3 linked regions of the Coturnix japonica genome follow. The protein of the gene in region 1 binds, or shares a complex with, the protein of each later gene. Links are inferred from orthologs where the notes say so. Each region holds a gene or a part of one and is shown on either strand. Other genes may lie near its edges.

Region 1 (4,084 bases):
ATGCCCAATTAATTGCCAAGGAGCCTTAATGACTGGTGTGTCCCCCCCCAGGCTCTTTGCATCCCCACCTTCCAGCTCCTTGAGCAGCCCAGTGGCCTCCAGAACCATCCCGACACCGTGGATGATCTTTTCCGCCTCGCAGCCAGGTACCTGTGTCCCCACATCCCAAAATAGCCATGTCCTCCATGTCCCTGAATCCACACATCCCCATGTCCTCCATATCTCCATGTTCCTGCATCTCTGTGTCATCTACATTTCTGTATCTGCATGTCTACAAGTCCTCCGTGTCTCTCTGTCCCTGCATTTTCTTGTCCCCAAGTCCTTTATGTCCCCGTGTCTAACTGTCCCTGCATACCCATGTCCCCGCATCTCCATGTCCCCCATTTCCTGCATCCCCATCTCCTTTTTGTTTCCCTGTCCCACATGATATCCCCATAACATGCTGTCACCACATCCCCCTGACCCCATGTCACATTATATCTTCCTATCCCTCTCCCCAGAACCCATTGTCCCCTGTCCCAATGTACCCATATCCCCCCGTCCTCACCCCCTTGCCCCCCCCATCATATCCCCCCATCCCTTTGTACCCATACCCCCCTGTCCCATTCTCCCCACATCATATCCTTCTGTCCCCATGCTCCGCCCGTCCCCACACTCCATCCCCATGTCATATCCCCACACTCTCCTCTCCCTGTACCCCCCACCCCCCTTCCCCCCGCCCCCGTGGCACTGTCCCTGTCCCCAGGTTCATCCAGCGCAGCCCGGTGACGCTGCTGCGCAGCCAGGTGATGATCCCCATCCTGCAATGGGCCATCGCCGCCACCACGCTGGACCACCGCGACGCCAACTGCAGCGTCATGAAGTTCCTGCGTGACCTCGTGCACACCGGGGTGGCCAATGATGTGAGTGGGGTGGGATGGGGGGAAGGGGACAGGGAGCCGAGATTTGGGGTTGAAAGAGAACACGGGGAAGGATGTGACGTTGGGAGAGAATGTGGGGTTGGGTTGGGATGTGGGATTGTAGATTGATGTAGGTTGAGAGGGGATGTGGGATTGAGTTGGGAGAGGATGTGGGATTGGGAGAGGATGTGGGATTGGGAGAGGATATAGGTTGAGAGGGGATGTGGGATTGAGTTGGGAGAGGATGTGGGATTGGGAGAGGATATGGGTTTGAGTTGGAAGAGAACATAAGGTTGGATTGGAAGAGGAAGTGGGATTGGAAGAGGATGTGTGGTTGGGAGGTCAAAAGAGGATGTAGTATTGGGAGAGGATGTAGGATTGGGTTTGTTGCGGTTGTAGGGTTAGATTTGGGACTGGTTGGGACATAGGATTGGGGTAAGAGAGGAAGTTGGGGTTGGAGGTGATGTGGGTTAGGGTTAGAATTTTGGGGTTAGGGTTTGGAGATTTGGGGATGGCATGATGTGGAGATGATGGTGGGTTGGGATTGAAGATGGTGTGGGGTCAGAGATTTATGGCTAGAAATGTAGGGTTAGGGAGTGAAGGTTTGAGGTCAGTTTTAGGGTTAGAGTAAGGGTTAGAATTGTGGGGCTGGACTTGTTTCGGGCTCAGGGTTTGGGTTTTAGGATTAGGTGAAGATAAAGGTTTTAGGGTCAGGGTTTTAGGGTTATGGTTAGCATTAGGGTTAAGCTTAGGGTTTTAGGCTTAGGGTGTTAGGGTTAAGATTAGGGTTTGGGTTTTAGAGTTAGGGTTTGAAGGTTGTGGTTTCTGGTTTGGGGTTTTAGGATTAGTGTTAAGATTAGGGTTTCAGGCTCGGGATCCTCATACCTCATCCCCCTGCAGCACGAGGAGGACTTTGAGCTGCGCACGGAGCTGATAGCGCAGGTGCTGCGGCAGCTGGGGCAGCAGCTCGTCTCGCAGCTCCTGCACACCTGCTGCTTCTGCCTGCCACCCTACACACTGCCTGACGTGGCCGAGGTGCTCTGGGAGATCATGCAGAGCGACCGCGCGGTGAGCACACGTCACCATGTCCCCTCTGTCCCCACAGCCTCACGTCCCCTCTGTCTTCACAACCCCATGTCTCCAACATCCCCATGTCCTTGTCCCCATATCCCCAGCATCCTCACGCTCCTTTATCCCTGTGTCACCCATATCTCTGTATCCTCACATCCCCCAGATCCCTGCATCTTTGTGTCCCCATGTCCCCCGCATCTCTGTGTCCCCATGTCCCTATACCCCTAGCTCCTCCACATTCCCAAATCTCAGTGTCCCCACACCCTCATGTCCACCAGATCTCCATGTCCCTATATCCCTATGTTCCTCACATACCCATGTCCCCAAGTCCTCAATGGGCCTGTGTCCTTGCATCCCCCCATCTCCATATCTCTGCAGCTCCACATCCCTGTGTCACCACATCCCTGTGTTTCTATATCCTTTATGTCCCTCACATCTCCATGTCCCTGCTTTCCTGTATCCCTATATCCCTACTTCTCTGTGTCCCCATGTCCCCACATTCCTGTGTCCCTACGTGTGCCCACATGTCCCTGCATAACTGTGTCACCCACATCCCTATGGTGTCCCCATGTTCCCCCATCCCACAGAGTGACCCAGGGGGAGCACAGTACCCTCCTCTCACTTTTCTCCCCTCCCTTCAGACCTTCTGTCGGTGGCTGGAGAACTCCCTGAAGGCACTGCCAAAGGAGACGACAGGGGGGGCCATCCAGGTGACGCACAAGCAGCTGACAGATTTCCACAAGCAGGTGACGAGGTGAGAGCCCAGAGACCCCAGTTAGTGCTGGGAGCCTTGCTCTCAATTAGTGACCAGAGTCTGGACCCCATTATCTGATGGGACCCCAGACCTCAATCTGGGATCAGAGCCTGGACCCTGATATCTGATGTGACCCTAGACTCCAATATCTGATGGGATCCCAAACCCCAATTTGGGATCAGAGCCCTGACCCTTATAACTGGTGGGACCCCAAACCCCATCTTGAGATGAGATCCCATACCCTGGTGTCTGATGACCACAGACTAAAATTTGGAATCAGAGCCTGGACCCCAATATCTGATGGAATTGCAGACCTCAGTTTGGGATCAGAGCCCACACCCCAGTATCTCATGGGACCCCAGCCCCCTATGTGTCCCTGTGTGTCTCCCACCCCTCTAACACCTCCTCCCTTTGCAGTGCGGAGGAATGTAAGCAGGTCTGCTGGGCTCTGCGGGACTTCACACGCCTGTTCCGATAGCCTGCGCCCTGCACCCGGCACGGCGCCTGCTCCCAGGTAAGGCAGAGGAGACCAGAGGCCACCATGGGGGCAGCAGACCCCCAGGGGCATTGCTGGGGCTGGGGACATCACATTGGGATGGGGGAATTGTGTGGAATTGGGTTGCATTGGGGACATCATGTTGGGTTGAAGACATGGCACACTGTATTGGGTTGAGGACACTGTTGTATAGATTCAGCTGGGGATGTTGGACTGGGGACATTGCTCTGGGATGGGGATATTATGCTGTGTTGGGGACATGATACTGTGTCGGGGACATTGATTTGGGTTCATTTGGGGACATCGTGTTGGGATGGAGCCATCAAATTGGGTTGGGAACATGGCACTGGGTTGAGGTCATTGTTCTAGGTTCAGCTGGGGACATCACATCAGGTTGAGGTCATGGGCCTTTGTTGGGAACATTGTGCTTGGCTGGGGATGTTGTGTTGAGTTGGATTGGTGACATGGTGCTAAGTTGGGGTGGGGATGTTGTGCTGGGTTGGGGGGCCTGGTGCTGGGTTGGATAGGGGACATGGTGCTGGGTTGGGGACATTGTGCTTTATTGGGGACAATGTTCTGGGTTTGATCAGGGACATTGCATTGGGTTGGGACATGGCACTGTTGGGTTGGAGGACATCATGTTGGGTTGGGGACATTGGGTTAGGTTGAGGACATTGAGTTGGGATGAGTTGGGGACGTGGTGTTGGGATGGGGACGTGGTGTTGGGTTGGGGGCATCAAGTTGGGATGGGGATGGGGTGTTGGGTTGGGGTCATCAAGTTGGGTTGGGGACATGGTGCTGGTTGGGGACATGGTGCTGGTTGGGGACATGGTGCTGGTTGGGGACATGGTGCTGGTTGGGGAC
Region 2 (4,995 bases), on another chromosome or scaffold:
GGTCCACAAATGGATGCCATGTATGGGGTGGGTGTGCTGTGCTCCAACATGGTCACTGTAAATCAATCACAGAGGGGAAATGCAGCAGCAACACTCCTTACCATGGCAACGCTGGGATTGCATCAGGCCTTTTCTTCTTGTTTCCTGCACTGCAAAACTGGATGAGCAGCTCCCCGAGGGGATGGTAGGAAGAGAGAATGGAATCGTTTTGTCCTGTGGGCAGGAATGGGGCTGCAGGGTGCAACAGATGCGAGGGTCCCTCTGTCCTCCTGTCCTTCATCACCTCGTTGTGCCAAGGAGTATTTGGGGACACAGTGAGCAGGGCTGTGTCTGTGCCAGCTGCTGCTGCTGCAGGGAGGTTGGCTCTGGTGACACACACGTTACATCTCATCACACAATTAGCTGCCTTAACAAGCTTGCAGAGCTGCTCCCGGTGCTGCTTTTGGCTGCAGCCCTGCAGTGCAAGGAGAGGCTGCTCTGCTTTGTGGCTCATGCTTGGGTCAGAGGGAACAAGCAGATCTGGAGCAGGAGAAACCCTTGGAGAGCAGCAGATCTGGGGCAACACAGGTGATTTCTGCTGTTAATGGAGCAGCTCCGGTTATGCCAAAGGAAGGACGTTGTCACCGCTGTGTCCTCAGCTTTTTGGGGATGAATCCTCTGCAAGGAGAGCCCCAAATACTGCAACCCACAGCACTCAGTCCTGGTGGGGCCAGAATGCACCTGGAGCATTGAAACAGATCAGTGTGTCAAGGTCACTCTATCCAACCTCATTGCAGAGTGCTGGCGTTAACACCACCCTCATTTAATCAGAAGGCTGTAGAAGGGCTGAGCTCAGGGCTGTGCTGAAGGGCACGGAGCACAGCTGTGAGCAGCACTCAGCTGTGAGCCAGGCTACAAAGCTTTGTGCCCATCATCACCATTTCTAACTGCTGCTCCAGTGATTCCCAAGGGTCCGACCTTCCCCTTTTCCATCCAAGCACATTGGATGCATTTAATAGACACATACAACCCTCCTCTGACCAATGGCTCTTCCATCTCCTCTCCTCTGGGCCTCACCTGTGCTGTGTAGCTCTGATAAGTCCATTTTAACCCCTGCACAGCGTTGCTGTTGGTGGCACAGGGCTCTTCATGCAGCTCTAGGTAAGTTGTACTGTCAATATACACCAGTGCAGACTCTCATTAAACATTTCAGTGCAAACAGGGCTGAGTTTTGTTTTATAATCGCCATCGTTTCTCCTCAGGAACCACCACAGCGAGGAGCCTAGGCCGCATACAGAGGGACTAGGCCGCACCAGGACCTCGGGCTGCATAGCGCTGAGGTTTGAAGGCCTGGCTCCTTCGGACAGCACTGAGAGCTGGGCCACCCTCTCAGGGTATCCCTTAGGGAAGGGATAGAGGACGGCACGTCGGACAGGGCTGCTCGTAGGGCCGTATAAACGCAGGCCGGGATCATACCCAAGATGGCGGCCGCCCCCTCAGGCGCCCCTTTGTCTGCAGCGCCGCATTGCTGCGAAGGGCGCGAAACTGGGGCAGCGTAGCCACACCCCATTGGGCGTGCCGGCCGCCAGGGGGCGGGGATAAGGAGGTGGGCGGCCAATCAGAGGCCTCCACTTCCTTCCTCCTCACAGGGGCTCCCGCGGCCAACGGGCTGGGCGCTCTCAGCCAATCAGCGTCGCGCTCCAGGCCACGCCCCCTCGTGGGCGGAGCTGCCGGCGGGGTTTTGTTCGCGCTCCCTCCTCCCCTCTCCCCTCATGAATATTAACAAGATACTATCCAATCAGACGGCGACGCAGCGGCGGCGCTTTGGTGACGTCATTCGCCCCGCCCCCTGGCGAATTCAAATTTGCATATTCATGAAGTAGGCGGGGCCTGGAGCGGGACTATATAAGCCGCCGCCCCGCCATCCGCCGCGTTCGTCGCGCTGAGGCTTTGAAGTGCAGGGTGGTGTTCGCGGTCCCGCACACCGGTAAGCGCCCACTGACACGCGTGGGGCGGCTGCTGGGGGTGTGGGGGGATTGATTCGGAGCTGTGCATGGAGGATAACATGTTCCCGATGGAGGTGGGGGTTCGGTTCGGTGTCTCGGCCCAAAATGGGGCGGCTTTGCACCGCCGGGCCTTGTATAGCTGCGGGCGGTGCGGCCTAGTGCGGGATGGCCGCGGTGTTGGAGCGTGAAGGGGCGCCTGGAAACAAAATGGCGACGGGCCTCGGCCGTGCAAAATGGCGGCGGGAGGGAGGAGGGGCGTCGCACTGCGCATGCGCGCGGGGTGGGGGGTCCCGAGCCGGGCGGGGGTCCGCGTGGCGAGGCCCCCCCTGTGGGTGCGCGCATGCGCGGTGCTGGTGGCGCGGCGCATATCGCCCCCTGGCGGCTGGGAGGACCCGTCGGTTGAGGCGTTGATATGATGTTGATACGAGGCTGGTTGGTTCGGTAGGTCACGATGGCATCAGATGAAGGCAAGCTGTTCGTCGGAGGGCTGAGCTTTGACACCAACGAGCAGTCGCTGGAGCAGGTTTTCTCCAAGTACGGGCAGATCTCTGAAGGTGAGGGCATGTTATGGGGGCTGCGGGGATGTGCTGGGTTCTGCTGCAGTTCTGTGCTGGGTTCTGATGGTGGCTGTTCTCTCCTCCAGTGGTGGTGGTGAAAGACAGAGAAACCCAGAGGTCCAGAGGCTTCGGCTTTGTGACGTTTGAAAACATAGATGATGCAAAGGATGCAATGATGGCCATGAATGGGAAGGTAAGCAGGGTCTGCTGGAGCTGGTTTTTCTCCCCCTTAAGAATTATAGGCTCATAGAATAGTCTGGGTTGAAAAGGATCACAATGATCATCTATTTTCATCCCCCCTGCCCATGTGCAGGGTCACCAACCACCAGATAAGGCTGCCCAGAGCCACATCCATCCTGGCCTTGAATGCCTGCAGGAATCAGGAAGCAATTTAGGCATGCTTCTGTTTGAAGCCATGAGATAATACAGATAAACACTGGGGTCTTCCCAAAGAAACAGCAGAGCAACGTGGCTTAGTGAAATCCTGTTGTGCTGCTGCGTTCTGAAGAAGGCTGAAGCTGTGATCACAGAATGGTTTGGGTTGGAATTGTGGATTGTGAAACTCCAGTCGCTCTGCTGCAGGCAGGGCTGCCAGCCTTTATATTTAATACCAGCCCAAGCTGCTCAGGCCCCATCCAGCCTGGCCTTAAACACCTCCAGAGATAAATGGGGCATCCACAGCCTTTCTGGGCAGCTGTTCCTGCACCTCCCCATTCTCATAGTAAAGAAATTCCCCCTGAAATCCAATCTAAATCCTCTCTTGTTTGACTTAAAAGCATTTCCCCTTGTCCTGCTTGCTTTCCTCTTGTCCCCCTTGTAGTGAAGTGCCCTCCTGTCTGTTTGTAGGCCCCTTTAGGTACTGAAAGGCTGCAATGAGGTCACCTGGCAGCCTTCTTTTTAAGAGCATCTTTGTAATGCATGAGAATCCATCTCTATGTGTCGTCATCTCAGTTGCAGTGTTGCAAACCAGTACATACTGCTATTGAAACTCCAGTGTTGCTTCACTGGGAGCAAAGCCGTGCATTGTACGTGAGCTGATTTATCTTTCTGCTCATTAGTCTGTAGATGGCCGTCAGATCAGAGTCGATCAAGCTGGAAAATCATCAGAGAACAGATCCCGAGGCTACAGAGGGGGATCCACCGGGGGCAGGGGCTTCTTCCGTGGGGGCAGAGGTCGGGGCCGTGGCTTCTCCAGAGGTGAGCACACATTGGGGTTGATCTGCTTGGGATGGGGGTGGTGTCTGTCAATGTGCTGGAGGAGAAACCATAAACATGGTGTGTGTTCCAGGAGGTGGAGACAGAGGCTACGGTGGGAGCAGATTTGACTCCAGAAGTGGAGGATATAATGGCTCCAGAGACTACTATAATAGCAGGTAATGCTATTGTGACTGCTAGCCTGGCTTGTTACTGAGCTCTTAGTGCCTGACAGGCAGCAATGCCAGCAGGCTGCACAAGCTGCCGAGCAAATATAAAGCGCCTGAATGTTTCCAACAGCAGGAGTCAAGGTGGCTATGGAGACAGGTCTTCAGGAGGCTCCTACAGAGACAGCTACGACAGTTACGGTAAGTCCTGGTTCAAATGGGAGCCATGCGTACGTTGCTGTAGGAACTCTCTAAACCTTCTGACCCTGTTGTGATGTCTGGAAATGCTCTGAGGTTCAGCTTTGGCCTGTGCCCCCCCTCCCCTTCCCCCCTTTTTCTTTTCCTTGGCCATAAGAACCAATCTTGTCAGGCTTTTGGAGATGGCGGTTGTGCCGTTTTATAATGTCTTTTTAATTTGTAATGCATGTTGGAGGAGTTGCTTGGATCTAAAGGCAAAAAAGCAAGTTGTTGTTTTTTTTTCTTTTCCTTTCTTTCTTTTAAATTCATTCTTGGAGCTTGAGACTAAACCAAAAAAAAAAACAAGGAAGCCCTGACAAACTGCATTCAAGGGTGGGGGAGTTCTCTGACATGGTAGCACACTTTAGCTGCTGGAATAATGCAAGGGAGTTAAAATGCTGGTGGAACTTGTCTATGCTTCAGTGCCTTTACAATTGTGCCTGCTTCTTGTCCTCAGCTACACACAACGAGTAAAAATCCTTCCTGACTCAAGATCGTCCTTCCAATGGCTGTATTTATAAAGATTTTTGGAGCTTCGCTGAAATGGTTATTATTGTGTAGTACATCTTACTTGTATTTTCCACTTTTGTAGTATTATCAGTTCTAATCTTGTCAAAAAGAAAACAAAAAACACAGCCTGACAGCTTCTGATAAACCAGATGGGTCTGATGAGACTTGATTCCTTTTAGGAAGGCTCTGCTTTCGAGTGGGTTTTTTTTTTAATCTCTTTTGGAAAGCACTTCAGATTTTGTTCGAACACGATGAGCCAAGGTGTTTTTTTTTCTTACATAGAAAGGCATGAAGTTGGGGCCCCCATAATTCAGTTTCTTTTCAGATAGAAAGGACCTTTTAACC
Region 3 (5,313 bases), on another chromosome or scaffold:
ACTTCATTAAAGCAATTAAGGCAATCATTTAAAGTAGTTATAAGGACTATTAACACACAAAAGAAATTGTGCAGCAGGGTTTTAGCAAACCAGGCAGATTCACCATTATCTTATGACGCCTTTAAGAATAACATCCAGCATTTATTAAACCCCATTCCCAGGCTTAGGCTGCAGCTTTCTCCAGACATGGGGAGAGTTTGTTTGGGGTCTTTGCAACCAGTTCACACTGGAAAGCATTAAAGCTCCATAAAGATGCAGGAAATCCCCCAGAACCATGAGCTGTATGTGGGTAAAGCACCGCTTCTGCTGGTGGGCTTTGCTCATCACATCCTCCTGTGGTTGACAGCAGTCTTTAAAGCACCAGCAATGCAGCACAGGCATCACTAATGTCAGAAACCATTAGAGCAGAGGACGTTACTGCACTTTAACCCACAGGGACAAAAATAAAAGGCATTGATAATAACCAAGCACACTATAACTTTGTCATGAAAATGTTTTCACTATGGGATGTTTTCTAACTGTAAGTCACTGTCTGTGGGAGGAATACACGCTTTGAATTAACAAATGAAAACAAAGTGAGCACAACAGCCACTGCTAAATGCTCGGACACATTCCTCAAACTCCCCTCATCAACTCAGGAGCATAATGGCTTTTCTCCATGCTCAGCTGCTGTTTCCCCATCCCTGTGGTGCTGAGATTCAGCCCTCCAGCACCAGGCAGGCTCAGCGGTGCTGGATGCAGGCAGGCAACCACTGTGTGCCCCAGTGCCACTTCCAGCCCTCAATGCATTGCCACATCTGCAAAGCAAAGCACAACGTCCAGGCAGCCAAGTGTGAGCCAACAGAGCAGGGACTGCTCTGCCCTCATGGGTCAGGCAAAGACTTTATGCTGTATTAAAGAAAGAAAAGTGGATGTTGGAGTTTCTGTGTCACCACAGAGCAGCTACAGGCCAAAAGAATTCTTGTTGTTAAACCAAAGCCTGGCTCATCTAATTGCACCCTCATTACTTAAAAGCAATTTATACGTTCAAAATTACATCTGCTGCCTGAAGAAATGTCAGAGACGTGTGAGTAACAAGGGTAACATCCCGGTGTGTTACTGTGCCTTCACATCAATTACAACCTCATCAAGAAAACAAACTCAGCACGGCGTTATTCTCGTGCCCCCATAGTTCGGCTGTGCTCATAGGAAGGTTCTGCCCATAGTTAGGCTGTGCCCTTAGGCCGGCTCTGCTCACACCCGTACACAGCGCCCGCCATCGCCCCCAGTTCCGCTCGTTTCCCACCCGCCCGGTGTTTGCACTGCTGTTCCATTCATGACTCAGTCCCCATCACACCCTGCCGTGTTCCTGCCCTTTATTCGTATCCCGTTGCCGTCCCGCTGCCCGCCCCGCCGCGTTCCCCTGAGGCGGGCGGTGACGCGGTGCCCGCTCCGTGCCCTCGGGGCGGCCATTTTGCCTCCGCACCGAGCCCGTCCCAACCGTCCCACACAGTGTCCGCTGAGCGGCTGACGGACCCACACGGCCCGCTCCCCGTGCACCCCGTGCAGCCGCAGGGCGGATCCGCCCGCAGCGCTTCGTGCGGACACGGATCGGTTCGGACCGGCCGGGAATGGACGCTCAGTACCGAGCCCGCCCGCCCAGCGCTGCGCACGGCCCGACCCGCCCGCGGTGCATTGTGGGCCGGGCCACGCCCCGCGCCTTGGCGCCAAGAGCCCCGAGCGGCGCGGTGCATTGTGGGACACCCCCAGCGCCGGCCGGGACTTCTTGGCGCGAGCGCCGCACCGGAAGTGACGTCACACGGCCCGGCGCCCTGAGACGGCAGCGGAAAGAAGCGCGGCGGTCCCGGTGCGGACAGCGGGGATCGGAGGCGGATATTCACGTTCATCCCGACCTCGCTGGCAGGAGCGGAGCCTCTTGTGCGGCCACAGCCGCTTTGGCGGAGCAGCGGAGGCGAAAGGCAAAAGAGAGGAACTACTTTTCCGCGCTGCCGCGCATGCGCGAGGGCGAGAGCGCGGCGGGATACTCGGAACGCATTGCGGTCTCGCGGCCCGGCGGTGCTGCGGCGCGGGGTGAGAGAGATCAGTGCGCGAGATCAGTGCGCGCTGCGAGCGCGAGGGGAGCCGCGGTCGCCATTTTGAAGCGGCGGTTGCTGGAGTCGCCGTGTCCGCTCCCGTCCGCACGGCCCGGCCCCGCGCCCGCCCGCCCGCCCGCGCTCCGCGCCCCGGCCCCTGAACGCCGCAGCCATTGCCGACCTCGGCATGTCCGGAGGGGGCGTGATCCGCGGCCCGGCCGGCAATAACGACTGCCGCATCTACGTGGGCAACCTGCCCCCCGACATCCGCACCAAGGACATCGAGGACGTGTTCTACAAATACGGCGCCATCCGCGACATCGACCTGAAGAACCGCCGCGGGGGGCCGCCCTTCGCCTTCGTGGAGTTCGAGGACCCGAGGTGAGCGCCGCGGGGCCCTGGGGCACGGGCGGGAACGGCTCCGCCGGGCGCCGATACCCCCCCCCTCCATTCCCTCCCTTCCTCCACGCGCGGCGCCGCTCCCGCTGCGCGCTATTCCACACACACACACACACACACACACACACACACACGCTCGGCTCGTTGCGCTCCGGGCCCGGCGCGGTGCCGCCGCTGGGGGTGGCGGTGATGGCGGTGATGGTGGTTGTGGTGCTGATGGTGGTGGTGGGGGCGGGGTGGGGCCGCGGGTATTGGGAACAAAGGCGCTGCGGGGGGCGGCGCGTGGCAGGGCGCGGCCGCGCTCACCGCCCGTCCCGACCCGCAGGGACGCCGAGGACGCCGTGTACGGGCGGGACGGTTACGATTACGATGGGTATCGCCTCCGCGTGGAGTTCCCTCGCAGCGGCCGGGGGACCGGCAGAGGAGGCGGCGGCGGCGGAGGGGGCGGAGCCCCGCGGGGCAGATACGGCCCCCCGTCCCGGCGATCGGAGTACAGAGTGATCGTCTCGGGTGAGTCGCTGCTCTCTTCCCCCGGGTCCTTCGTGCTGCCGTGCGCGGGGGGCGACGCGGCTCCGCTTTTCCCTGCGAAGCCTCGGGATGGGGGAGGGGTGCTGGATGCTGTGGGCTGTGTGCAGGGTGTTCTGCTCGTGTGCTGCGGGATGATGCTGGAATTGCAACACCGGAGGCCTTGGGTTCGAATCCCCTGTGGCGCAAGTGGCAGAAGTGCCGCTCTGCTACACAGAAGGCTCAAATCGCGGGGGGTTGGACTCGATGATGTCTAAGGTCCCTTCCAACCCGCACGAGACTGTGATACTATGATATGATCGCACCATTGGGTTTTAAAGCCAGGTGTTGCTTTTTATCCAGGACTGCCTCCAAGTGGAAGTTGGCAGGATTTAAAGGATCACATGCGTGAAGCAGGTGATGTATGTTATGCTGATGTTTTCCGAGATGGAACTGGTGTCGTGGAGTTTGTACGGAAGGAAGATATGACCTACGCTGTGCGAAAACTGGATAACACTAAGTTTAGATCTCATGAGGTAGGTTTCACGCTTACTTGTTTTTGGCCAGAATTGGATACAAAGGGCTTAACAGTAGGATGTGAAGGTAAGGAATGTGTGGTGATCATTGCGTTAATACACGAAGCAGCTAAACTGAGTCTGCTGTCAGTTTGTCACGAAATAGACTTTATTAAGAGTTTGATGTCTATTTCTGTGCCTTAGTAAAGATATCTGCAGTCTGTCAGCATGCCTAAAACGATGGCCCCGAAGCCTAGACCTTTCAATCGAAAGTTGTGTCTATTCAATAGGGAGAAACTGCCTACATCCGTGTTAAAGTTGATGGTCCAAGAAGTCCAAGCTATGGAAGATCTCGGTCACGCAGCCGTAGTCGTAGCAGAAGCCGTAGTCGAAGCAACAGCAGAAGCCGCAGTTATTCCCCAAGAAGAAGCAGAGGATCTCCACGCTACTCTCCCCGCCACAGCAGATCCCGATCTCGTACATAAGCGATCACTAGCTCTGATCTTTTTGTAGAACCCCATGTTGTACACAGTTTTCCTTTACTCAGTACAGTCTTTCAATATTATTTTTTTTTAAATTCAAGCTGTTTTATTCAGATTGGCTGAAGTGTTGAATTGCATTCTTGTGTAAAATCCCTAGTGAGTATTTGCTCCGTAACAACAACATTCCCCCTCATGTCTTTGGTAAACTGTATTTTAATTGATGTCAGTCAGGATTGTTTCAATTTAGTTCTAGTTAAATACCAACACTCTTCAAACTGTGGTATTGCTGTGTAAATGTCTCAGTGTTCAGCTATGGTTCATGCGAGCTGGGGATGTTGGGATGTTTGTGGCTAACTTGTCTCTTCTGGGGGATCTTATATTTTATCTTGCCTTTTCGTGTGTCTTTCTGTAGACATATCTGAAGAGATGGATTAAGAATGCTTTGGATTAAAGGATTGTGGAGCACATGTCAATCATTTTAGGATTGTCAAAAGGAGGATTGAGGAGGATCAGATCAATAATGGAGGCAATGGTATGACTCCAAGTGCTATTGTCACAGATGAACTTGGCAGTATTGACCTTATACTGAGACAGGTGAATTGAGAACGTGCGCCTGCGTGTCACTTCTTCAGGCACCTCTTGGTCACTGCGGGCTGCAATTGCTCTGTTCTTTAAAACCCTCTTGGCAATTGTGGCTCAGTACTTGCCGGTGTAATTCCTTATTCCATTCTAGTCTTTTTTTAAAGGAGTAAACCGGGACAGGGGTGGGAGCATTGGTTTGTCCCGCGGCATTTGGTTCCAAGCGTTAACGGCCCGCAGTACTTCCACGCTTGCGGATCAAGGGTATCTTTAAATGGGAGTATAATATCAATACTGCTAAAATCTGCATGTCCTCTGTGTGACTGATACAGCGTTGCTATTTCATTTCTTTTAAGTATCAGAATGAAAGGGAAAAAAGCCAAAAACCCAAATCCTAAGAGAACCTGGTTGGGAATCGTTTGTCAGCCCTTCCCCAGCCTAATTCAGAGCTGACTCACCGTATTGAGAGCTGCAGTTAGTTCCTCTGTTACCTTCCAGCCGGGGGTGCTGGCCGTAGCTGAGAGGCGCAGTAGGTGACAGCTTTAGCAGTAAAACTTTTCCAATTTCATAAACATTTTTTGCAACCACAGAAGCTGTAGAGCACCACCGTACGAGCAATGAGTATGTTGGCATTTTTAGTTGACATATGTAAATATTGCAGTGTTTCCTCCAAATAATTAACGTTTCTTAAAGAGAACAAAAGATATAGCATCACCATTCAGAAGCTTGTTTTGGGGAATTGATAGTTATTACTGTACATCT

What was found.
Region 2: the proteins of TNPO3 (region 1) and CIRBP are in contact, whole or in part, in a crystal structure (PDB 8CMK), measured with the Homo sapiens proteins. The link is inferred for Coturnix japonica from reciprocal best matches to the Homo sapiens genes TNPO3 and CIRBP. Residues at the interface, in NP_036602.1 of Homo sapiens: Arg620, Glu660, Arg661, Cys663, Arg664, Arg667, Phe668, Arg671, Ser698, Cys699, Tyr702, Ser705, Ile706, Asp709, Glu710, Asp747, Asp750, Asp751, Arg754, Arg758; in NP_001271.1 of Homo sapiens: Tyr160, Arg161, Ser163, Tyr164, Asp165, Ser166, Tyr167, Ala168.
Region 3: the proteins of TNPO3 (region 1) and SRSF1 are in contact, whole or in part, in a crystal structure (PDB 4C0O), measured with the Homo sapiens proteins. The link is inferred for Coturnix japonica from reciprocal best matches to the Homo sapiens genes TNPO3 and SRSF1. Residues at the interface, in NP_036602.1 of Homo sapiens: His155, Arg157, Arg160, Thr167, Tyr254, Ile256, Glu257, Glu304, Glu340, Ile341, Phe343, Asn344, Tyr347, Arg348, Glu351, His352, Lys355, Thr356, Arg620, Asn656, Glu660, Arg661, Arg664, Arg667, Phe668, Arg671, Ser698, Cys699, Tyr702, Ile706; in NP_008855.1 of Homo sapiens: Ser116, Arg117, Arg118, Ser133, Trp134, Gln135, Lys138, Asp139, Arg142, Glu143, Gly145, Asp146, Cys148, Tyr149, Ala150, Asp151, Val152, Tyr153, Arg154, Val172, Arg173, Asp176, Asn177, Arg181, His183, Tyr189, Ile190, Arg191, Arg198, Pro200.

Annotation. Positions count from the first base shown.
Region 1 is NC_029516.1:719,993-724,076, reverse strand, and holds part of TNPO3 (transportin-3), read left to right. Parts: intron 1-51; coding exon 52-146; intron 147-745; coding exon 746-902; intron 903-1,799; coding exon 1,800-1,967; intron 1,968-2,611; coding exon 2,612-2,724; intron 2,725-3,141; coding exon 3,142-3,202; 3' UTR 3,203-3,238; intron 3,239-4,084. UniProt on the Homo sapiens protein: Importin, which transports target proteins into the nucleus. Specifically mediates the nuclear import of splicing factor serine/arginine (SR) proteins, such as RBM4, SFRS1 and SFRS2, by recognizing phosphorylated SR domains.
Region 2 is NC_029543.1:2,135,858-2,140,852, forward strand, and holds the start of CIRBP (cold-inducible RNA-binding protein), read left to right. Parts: upstream 1-1,834; 5' UTR 1,835-1,966; intron 1,967-2,430; 5' UTR 2,431-2,436; coding exon 2,437-2,539; intron 2,540-2,628; coding exon 2,629-2,735; intron 2,736-3,600; coding exon 3,601-3,739; intron 3,740-3,830; coding exon 3,831-3,915; intron 3,916-4,036; coding exon 4,037-4,178; 3' UTR 4,179-4,597; coding exon of another isoform or gene 4,598-4,614; 3' UTR 4,615-4,995. UniProt on the Homo sapiens protein: Cold-inducible mRNA binding protein that plays a protective role in the genotoxic stress response by stabilizing transcripts of genes involved in cell survival. Acts as a translational activator.
Region 3 is NC_029534.1:7,446,119-7,451,431, forward strand, and holds the start of SRSF1 (serine/arginine-rich splicing factor 1), read left to right. Parts: upstream 1-2,103; 5' UTR 2,104-2,259; coding exon 2,260-2,453; intron 2,454-2,796; coding exon 2,797-2,981; intron 2,982-3,338; coding exon 3,339-3,511; exon of another isoform or gene 3,512-3,780; coding exon 3,781-3,975; 3' UTR 3,976-5,313. UniProt on the Homo sapiens protein: Plays a role in preventing exon skipping, ensuring the accuracy of splicing and regulating alternative splicing.